Saccharomyces cerevisiae S288C: one gene and its partner. The gene in region 1 interacts genetically with each later gene. Each region holds a gene or a part of one and is shown on either strand. Other genes may lie near its edges.

Region 1 (3,319 bases):
ATATTTTGATAAAATTTTACTTATTTATTGCCTTTGGCGTATTCCTACTAAGATCCGTCAAGTTCAATTTACTAAGCCGCTCCGGTGCTGAAGACGATGATATACACGTTTCCATCAGCAAATCGACCGTCAAGAAGTGCAATTACTTCCTATTCGTCTATGGCTTCATTTGGCAAAATGTTCTAATGTGGTTAATGGGTTGATCTTGATTGAAGAGATCAAAGAGAGGATTTAATTTCATGCGCATTATTATTATCTACGGTCAATTTGTTAAATACTTATATACTTTTATTCCTACGTCATAAATTTTCTATTTACTTTTCTTATTTTTCCTTTCACTCAATATGGAGTGGAAAGAGAACAATAGAGGGATTAAAATTCGTGGGAAAAATCACGCTTTTTAGATAGATTTAATTTACATCATTGTTTAAAAAAAAAGACCCTGAAAAATCACACAAAGAAAGCACAAGAAGAAGAACAAAAATGGGTCTTTTTTCAAGAAAACGGGACCATACGCCTGCTGTGCCTAAAGAGAAACTTATTCCATGTGATAAGATATTCTTGGACCCTCCTGCCAAGTATGGTAACGCACCTCTACTGGAACCCATCTCCGAAGATCAAAACGAAAAATATAGAGCTGTCTTACGACATTTTCAAGATGATGATCTGAAATTACCAGAAAATCTCAATGACCTTGACAATGGGACACATGCCAATGACAGACCCTTGAGTGATTGGGAGAAGTTTTGGCTTTCTAGGGAGTGTTTTCTAAGATACCTAAGAGCCAATAAATGGAACACCGCGAACGCCATAAAAGGTCTCACCAAAACCTTGGTATGGAGGAGAGAAATTGGACTTACACATGGTAAGGAGGACAAAGACCCTTTAACAGCTGACAAAGTTGCCGTTGAGAACGAAACTGGTAAACAGGTTATTTTGGGCTTTGACAACGCTAAAAGACCTCTATACTACATGAAAAATGGTCGTCAAAACACAGAATCTTCCTTTAGACAAGTCCAAGAATTAGTCTACATGATGGAAACTGCGACAACTGTAGCTCCCCAAGGTGTAGAAAAGATCACAGTCTTGGTAGATTTCAAAAGTTATAAAGAACCTGGTATTATCACTGATAAAGCTCCACCCATCTCTATTGCTAGGATGTGTTTGAACGTCATGCAAGATCATTACCCTGAAAGGTTAGCTAAGTGTGTCCTGATCAATATCCCATGGTTTGCGTGGGCTTTTTTGAAGATGATGTATCCGTTCCTTGACCCTGCCACTAAGGCGAAGGCTATCTTTGACGAACCATTTGAAAACCACATAGAGCCATCTCAACTAGATGCTCTATACAATGGTCTGTTAGACTTCAAGTATAAACATGAAGTCTATTGGCCAGATATGGTTAAGAAAGTTGACGATTTACGATTGAAACGTTTTGATAGATTTTTAAAGTTTGGAGGCATTGTCGGATTAAGTGAATATGACACCAAGGGCCAACATGACGAATTAAAATATCCTGTTGATATGGTCATTTGATAAACTATAATTAAGATTTTTTTTTTTAACGTTTCCCGCTACACAAACGTATATATCTAGACTCAGATGTACGTTTATAATGGCTGCTTATGCGCTTATCGCATTTTATATACTTTTAGAATCAACTGAATCGGCTATCCGCACTCTATTGTTTTGTTTCATGAAAAAAAAAACGCCTTCTGAATTCCAAAGGGTGTGAAAATTATATATACTATTAGTTCCAGCTAATCAATCAGAACTAGTCAACATAGAAGATAGATAAGAGAATACGACAACTAAAAATGGCTCCGTCAATGATTCCGTTCACTGTATGTTTATATTTTATAGTAATTTTTAAAAAGCTTTAGTATGCAAAAGATCTAGGATGTACTAACTGAAGAAGGGTAAAACTATCATCCAAATTATTGTTATAGATCAAGCTTAAAACATGCCTGAAAATGTGTATTCAAAGGTTAAGATATGCTCAAGAAAAGCAACAGGCGATTGCAAAGCAGTCTCGAAGACAGGTTGCACAACTGTTACTGACAAATAAAGAACAGAAGGCGCATTATCGTGTGGAGACGCTAATTCATGACGATATTCATATTGAGCTACTAGAGATATTGGAACTATATTGTGAATTACTACTGGCTAGAGTGCAGGTAATAAACGATATCTCCACCGAGGAACAGCTTGTCAAAGAGCATATGGATGATGGTATTAACGAAGCTATCAGATCCCTAATCTATGCGATTCTTTTCGTTGATGAAGTCAAAGAACTTAGCCAATTGAAAGATTTGATGGCCTGGAAAATAAACGTTGAGTTTGTTAATGGAGTAATAGCAGATCATATCGATGTCCCTGAAAAGATTATAAAAAAATGCTCTCCCTCAGTTCCAAAAGAAGAACTAGTTGATCTTTATTTGAAGGAAATCGCGAAAACATACGATGTGCCATATAGTAAGCTGGAGAATTCCTTATCTTCGTCGTCTTCTAACATTTCTTCAGACTTTAGTGACCCCTCGGGAGATATCGAGGATAATGACGAAGAAAAGCCTATTTTAGCCTTAGATAATGACGATAATGACAATGCAGATGCTAAACACCCTATCACTGTTAAAAAGCCTAGGCAGAATAGTGAAAATATCAAGAACGAGCTCAAGATTCCGAAAGATATCAAAAAGGAAGTGATCGAAAAGAAACAATCAGAAAAGAAAACTACAAAAAGAAAGACTAAGAAGGAGCAAGAAAATGATGAACTAGATGAGTTGAAGAAACGGTTTGACGCTTTACGCAGAAAATAAGATAATAATTTATATGTATGGTTAATTAACCACATATTTATTTTACTCTCATTCTTTTACCTTGCTTTTTCTGAGTCAGCTGCTCTATTATTCTCGGCAATAAATAAATATATGTATATTCCTTTTACTAAAATTCCAATTTTTTTGTTCTCCGGACATTTGCAAATTGTTTTTCCAGTTCTGTCACAGCTATTTTCCTTCTCAGCTATATATACCCTGTGTAATAAGTTGAAATTGGTCGTATATTCTGGTGTAAATACTACCCAAAGATTTACCTATCAAGAAATTTTCTACGAAGTCATCAACTTCTTTTTCTGATAAGTCCAATTGGAACCTTTGTCGTAGTTGTACACTTGTTTGTTCGCCAGCATCGAAACAAGGCTGCATATTGTCCTTTTGCATAATCTCACACATTGATACGATTTGATCAGCATACTTTCTCAGAGCCTTGAACGAACTTTTAGTTAGTTCAACAAACTTTTTAAACGCTTCTCCCTCTA
Region 2 (5,024 bases), on another chromosome or scaffold:
AAAAAATCTTGCATTTCGTCAGTGTCAATGTCTTGTGGGTCTTCAGAAGATATGGCCTGTAACAAACCATCAAGCATATTGTCAACTTTATTTTCGTCGATTTTCAAACATAAAGATAACACTCTTCTAAATTTATTCTCTAATTCTGATTGTTTGGTGCTGATTGTATCCAATACATTGGTTAGGTGTTTATCATTCCGCTTGTATGCATTTATTCTTGCCTTCAATAAGACCGTTGGTGGAAGCATCGATTGGATTTTTTCTGCGGGAAGTTGATTTCGTATCTGTTCCATTATCTGCTCTTTCGACTCCGCTTCTAATAGTTTGGAAATATCGCCTTCATAATTCTTTTGTAATTTATCCTCCAAGAAATCTGAAAGGAACTCTACTTTGAAGGGTTCATCTGCATCATATTCGCTAGAGTCCCAATCAATACCTGAACTTTCATCTGCAATTATTCCTAGCTTTTTGCTCTCTTCCCTAAAACTTTCCTCTTCTTCTTCAATTCCTGCTTTTAAATTGGTCAATTGCTCTTGCATTAGTGAGTATTCATCTTTCAATTGCTTCACATTTGCTAGTTGTTCTCTAGAATTAGCTAATTCTTCTCGCTGTTCGTTCAATTCCTTGTGTAGTTTTTCTAATTTCTCATTATATTGCACTGTTTCATTCTCATAATCTTTCGAGATTGAATTCAGTAAATTTTGGACATCATTAATTAACGAAGTTGTTTCAGGTGGGTTTTTCAACAGTTGAGACCTTATTTTTTTGGCCTTTCCATTTTTTTGACCGTCGTAATCACCCTTAGAGACCATCTTCGAGTTTTCGTCACCGCCGTTCGTATTTTGTAATTTTGAAGTACCTGCCCCAAAATCCACGGGTCTCAACCCTGATTTGTTTGCAATAAATGGGTCAGCACCGTAATCTAATAAAGCGTCTACTATTGAAATGTTTCCCAATCTTGCTGCAATGTTCAAGCAAGTATCGCCATTAGAGTCCTGCGCATTGAGCATGTTTGCTATTATCCATTTCAGGTCCAAATTTTCTAGTATAGAGTCCTTTCTTTCCCCATTTTTGTCATTCGGTTTGCTTTCTTTTTCGTTAGTACCACTTTGAATGGGTCTATTTTGTTTCTTGACAATCCATCCCATTAAAATATCTAAATAATATTTCGCAGCTGCTGAACAGCCAGTCATACCAGACGTAATAATGATATGGTGCAAAATTGTTCTATTCATTGAGTCTTCCAAAATTAAACATGGATATAAATAATCTAGAAGTGCCTCAAAAGTACCAGAGTCGTAATTATTTACTGATTTGACAGCTTTCACTAGGCATGACTCCCCCATATTATCACCATATAATCTGTTTGAACCATGCTTAACCAGGTGTTTCACTAATTCCAGGTTTGCTATTGAAGTCAGCCAATGTAATGGTGTGTTTCCATGCTCATCTACAGGAATATTAAGATTTAATTGAGTATTAGGAAAAGCGTCGTTTACCTCTTGCAAAAGGCTATCAAATGATACGTGCTGTTGTTGTTGGTTTGAGCTCCCCCCTTCTGAATTTCTATTACTGCTGTCATTATTAAGGGATGTAGGCATTTCTTGAATTTCTGGAAATAACAACCGTTGTAAGAATGCCTCTAGTTTCATCTTCTGTTCATTATCATTTACAACTGGAGAAGGTAGTGCTTTCATGATTTTCAGTGGACTGCTTAAAAAGTCAGAAGTTAGGTCATGAGTGAATGTTATGATAGGTCCAGCGGTTCTGTCATTGTCATCAGTGCCATTATTTTCATTGTCGCCGCTAGGGCCCTTATTAATATCATCGTTAGGCTTGCCTCTGGCAGTATTCGGAGTGGAGTCACTCTCAGCATCTATTACAGAGGTATCTATTTTTAGTTTTTTTAAAGGAGAGCCTAATTCTCTGTGTGCATCAGAATCCAGGCTCATATCTTGTAAATTATTAATCCTCTTTGAGCTGATATTATCCTTAGAATTTTCACTTTTGGTCTTGTTTTCTGGTAGTTTCGAATGGCTGGGATCTTCTTCATCCTGATCTGTTTCAGGCTCCTCAAATTCGAATGCATCCTGGAACAAACCGAATAAATTTAGCATGTTTAATAATTGTAAACATTTTTCCAGCTCTATCCATAACTCACCTCGGTCGTCTGTATTTACAGCAATTCCATAATGTGCCAGTAATTTATTTCTTTCCTCATCAGTGGGGAAACTATCGGGGTTGGTCTCGTTAATATTCCCCGTGTCATGATATTGCTGCAAAATGGGCAGAAAATGTTTCAGGAGGAAATGGCCAGTCTCCGAGTCTCTAGTGAGTGTCAAAGGGATCTCATTGTGAGGTCCTAAGTATCGTACCACTTCTTCCAACGCCATCCTCTCGAGAATTATACTGTGTTCCCCTTTATTATTCTTTTTTTTTTAGCTATTGCTTAGTTCATATTGATGTTTCTCAATCGTGTTTTTTGTTGTTTTTTTTTATTATTATGAAATCGTTGGAGAAGGAAACTAAAAAAAAAAACTAAGATTTGGTGAATGATCTTATCCAAACGGTCCAGATGAAGACAAAAAAAGGAACAATAAGCTTTCTTATTTTATTTGATTCAATTTTTAGAAACTAATTGTCCACATTTTAAATAAATTCTATGGCTAGTAACGCTGCAAGGGTTGTCGCTACAGCGAAGGATTTTGACAAAGTTGGGTTAGGGATCATCGGATACTATCTTCAGTTATATGCGGTGGAATTGATACTGAGTGAAGAAGATCGGTCGCAAGAGATGACCGCACTAGCGACAGAACTTCTTGATACTATTGAAGCGTTTAAGAAGGAGATTGGCGGCGAGAGTGAAGCAGAAGACAGTGACAAAAGCTTACACGTTATGAACACGCTAATACATGATCAAGAAAAAGCCAAAATTTATATGCTAAATTTTACAATGTCGTTGTATAACGAGAAACTGAAACAGCTAAAAGATGGTCCCTGGGATGTTATGTTAAAAAGATCACTTTGGTGTTGTATTGATTTATTTTCATGCATTTTACACCTGTGGAAGGAAAATATAAGTGAAACGAGTACAAATTCATTACAAAAACGAATTAAGTATTGCAAAATTTATTTGAGTAAATTGGCAAAGGGTGAAATTGGTTCCAGCGACGAGAAAACGTTAGATTATGCAGATTTTGCGGATGATAGCGAGGAGATTAAGGATGAAGATGTTGATCACCAGACAAGCGATTTGGAAAACAATAATAATGATAAAGTCGAAGGCCTAGCCCCAAAAGACCAAACAACATCATACGAGCCTGTGGATGAGGTACCTGAATTTATTGATGATGCCGATAGCGTAAACGAAGAAGAACAGACCGTCGACAAGAACGAAGATGCAATAACAAAAGACGAACAACAAGTTGTGAAGAAAGAAGTGGATCTTACGCGCCCTTCTGCACCATCAGAACCTGCTGCAGCAGAGCATAAATCGTATACAAAGGATGAGTTGACAAAAATTATGGACAGGGCCAGTAAAATAGAGCAAATTCAAAAACTTGCCAAATACGCCATAAGCGCATTGAATTATGAAGACCTGCCCACCGCCAAAGATGAGTTAACTAAGGCGTTGGATCTGTTAAATTCTATTTGAATAAGATAAAGTTTGGTTTGTTGATCCGTTGAAGGAGGTATATATTAATATTAGTAGTTACGTATTAAATGTTAGAAAGGAAAAGGAATCCTGTATAATGCAAAATGAAATCGATACAAATTTGATTTGAGAAAAATGAGTCTATATCAAGAATATGATGGTATTGCGTCCCTGCATCAAATACGGTATAATGTACATGTTGACTTGTGTTGAGCAAATGAAAACATGGGAGGTTGAAGGCAGAAAAAAGTCCAAAAGGAAAAAAGCTTAGAACTTCAAAGTCTTAGGCTTTTCCCATGGGTATTCTTGGTTTGTGAAATGGCCATAAGAAGCGGTTGGCAAGTAGATTGGTCTAGCTAAGTCCAACTCCTTGACCAATACACCAGGTCTCAAGTCAAAGTTCTTGCTGATAATGTCGATAATTTCTTCGTCAGACTTGGTCGCAGTACCATAGGTGTCAACGTGCAAGGACAATGGTTCCGCAATACCGATGGCATAAGAAAATTGAACTTGAACTCTCTTACATAAACCAGCGGCAACTAGGGACTTGGCAACCCATCTAGCGGCATAAGCGGCAGAACGATCAACCTTAGAGTAGTCCTTACCGGAGAAGGCACCACCACCGACGGATGAGGCACCACCGTAAGCGTCGACGATGATCTTTCTACCGGTCAAACCAGCGTCACCTTGAGGACCACCGATGACGAATCTACCGGAAGGTTGGATAAAGTATTTGGTGTTTTCGTCCAACATGTCTCTTGGGATGACTTTTTCAATGATCTCGGACTTTAGTTGCGCTCTTAAGTCCTCGGTCGTGATTTCGTCAGCATGTTGAGCGGAGACGACGACGGTGTCGATTCTTTGTGGAACCCATCTACCGTGGTCATCCTTGTATTCGACGGTGACTTGAGTCTTGGTGTCTGGTCTCAACCACGCTAAAGAGCCATCTCTTCTCGCGTCAGCCATGGCCATGTTTAGTTTATGAGCCAAAAGAATAGTCAAAGGCAAACCCTCTGGAGTTTCATCTGTGGCGTAACCAAACATGATACCTTGGTCACCGGCACCGATGTCTTCCAAATCCTTCTCCTCGTGGACACCTTGGGCGATATCTGGAGATTGTTGCTCAATGGCGACAAGGACGTTACAGGTCTTATAGTCGAAACCCTTGGCGGAATCATCGTAACCAATCTTCTTGATGGTGTCTCTGACGATTTTTTGGTAATCCAACTGTGCCTTGGTAGTAATTTCACCAAAGACCATAATCATACCAGTCTTTGCCGCGGTTTCACACGCAACTTTGGAGTGAGGGTCCTCGGCTAAACAAGCGTCCAAGATGGCGTCGGAAACTTGGTCACAGATCTTATCTGGG

The links. Genes that interact genetically often act in the same process or in processes that back each other up.
Region 2: of IST1 (region 1) and VTA1, changing one enhances a phenotype caused by changing the other (phenotypic enhancement), as found in Saccharomyces cerevisiae (6 studies listed by BioGRID, with this or other methods).

What each region holds. Positions count from the first base shown.
Region 1 is NC_001146.8:143,780-147,098, reverse strand, and holds IST1 (Ist1p), read left to right. Parts: upstream 1-1,817; coding exon 1,818-1,844; intron 1,845-1,949; coding exon 1,950-2,819; downstream 2,820-3,319. Other genes in the region: protein transporter YIF1, read left to right, coding at 1-203; PDR17 (phosphatidylinositol transporter), read left to right, coding at 484-1,536; PIK1 (1-phosphatidylinositol 4-kinase), read right to left, coding at 3,021-3,319. UniProt on the Saccharomyces cerevisiae protein: Involved in a late step in sorting of cargo proteins of the multivesicular body (MVB) for incorporation into intralumenal vesicles. The lumenal sequestrated membrane proteins are targeted into the vacuole after fusion of the endosome with the vacuole.
Region 2 is NC_001144.5:515,309-520,332, reverse strand, and holds VTA1 (Vta1p), read left to right. Parts: upstream 1-2,662; coding exon 2,663-3,655; downstream 3,656-5,024. Other genes in the region: transcriptional regulator SWI6, read right to left, coding at 1-2,393; methionine adenosyltransferase SAM1, read right to left, coding at 3,923-5,024. UniProt on the Saccharomyces cerevisiae protein: Has a role in the formation of the multivesicular body (MVB). Required for the sorting of lipids to form intralumenal vesicles and for fluid-phase transport to the vacuole. Required for sorting the plasma membrane proteins STE2 and STE3 into the MVB.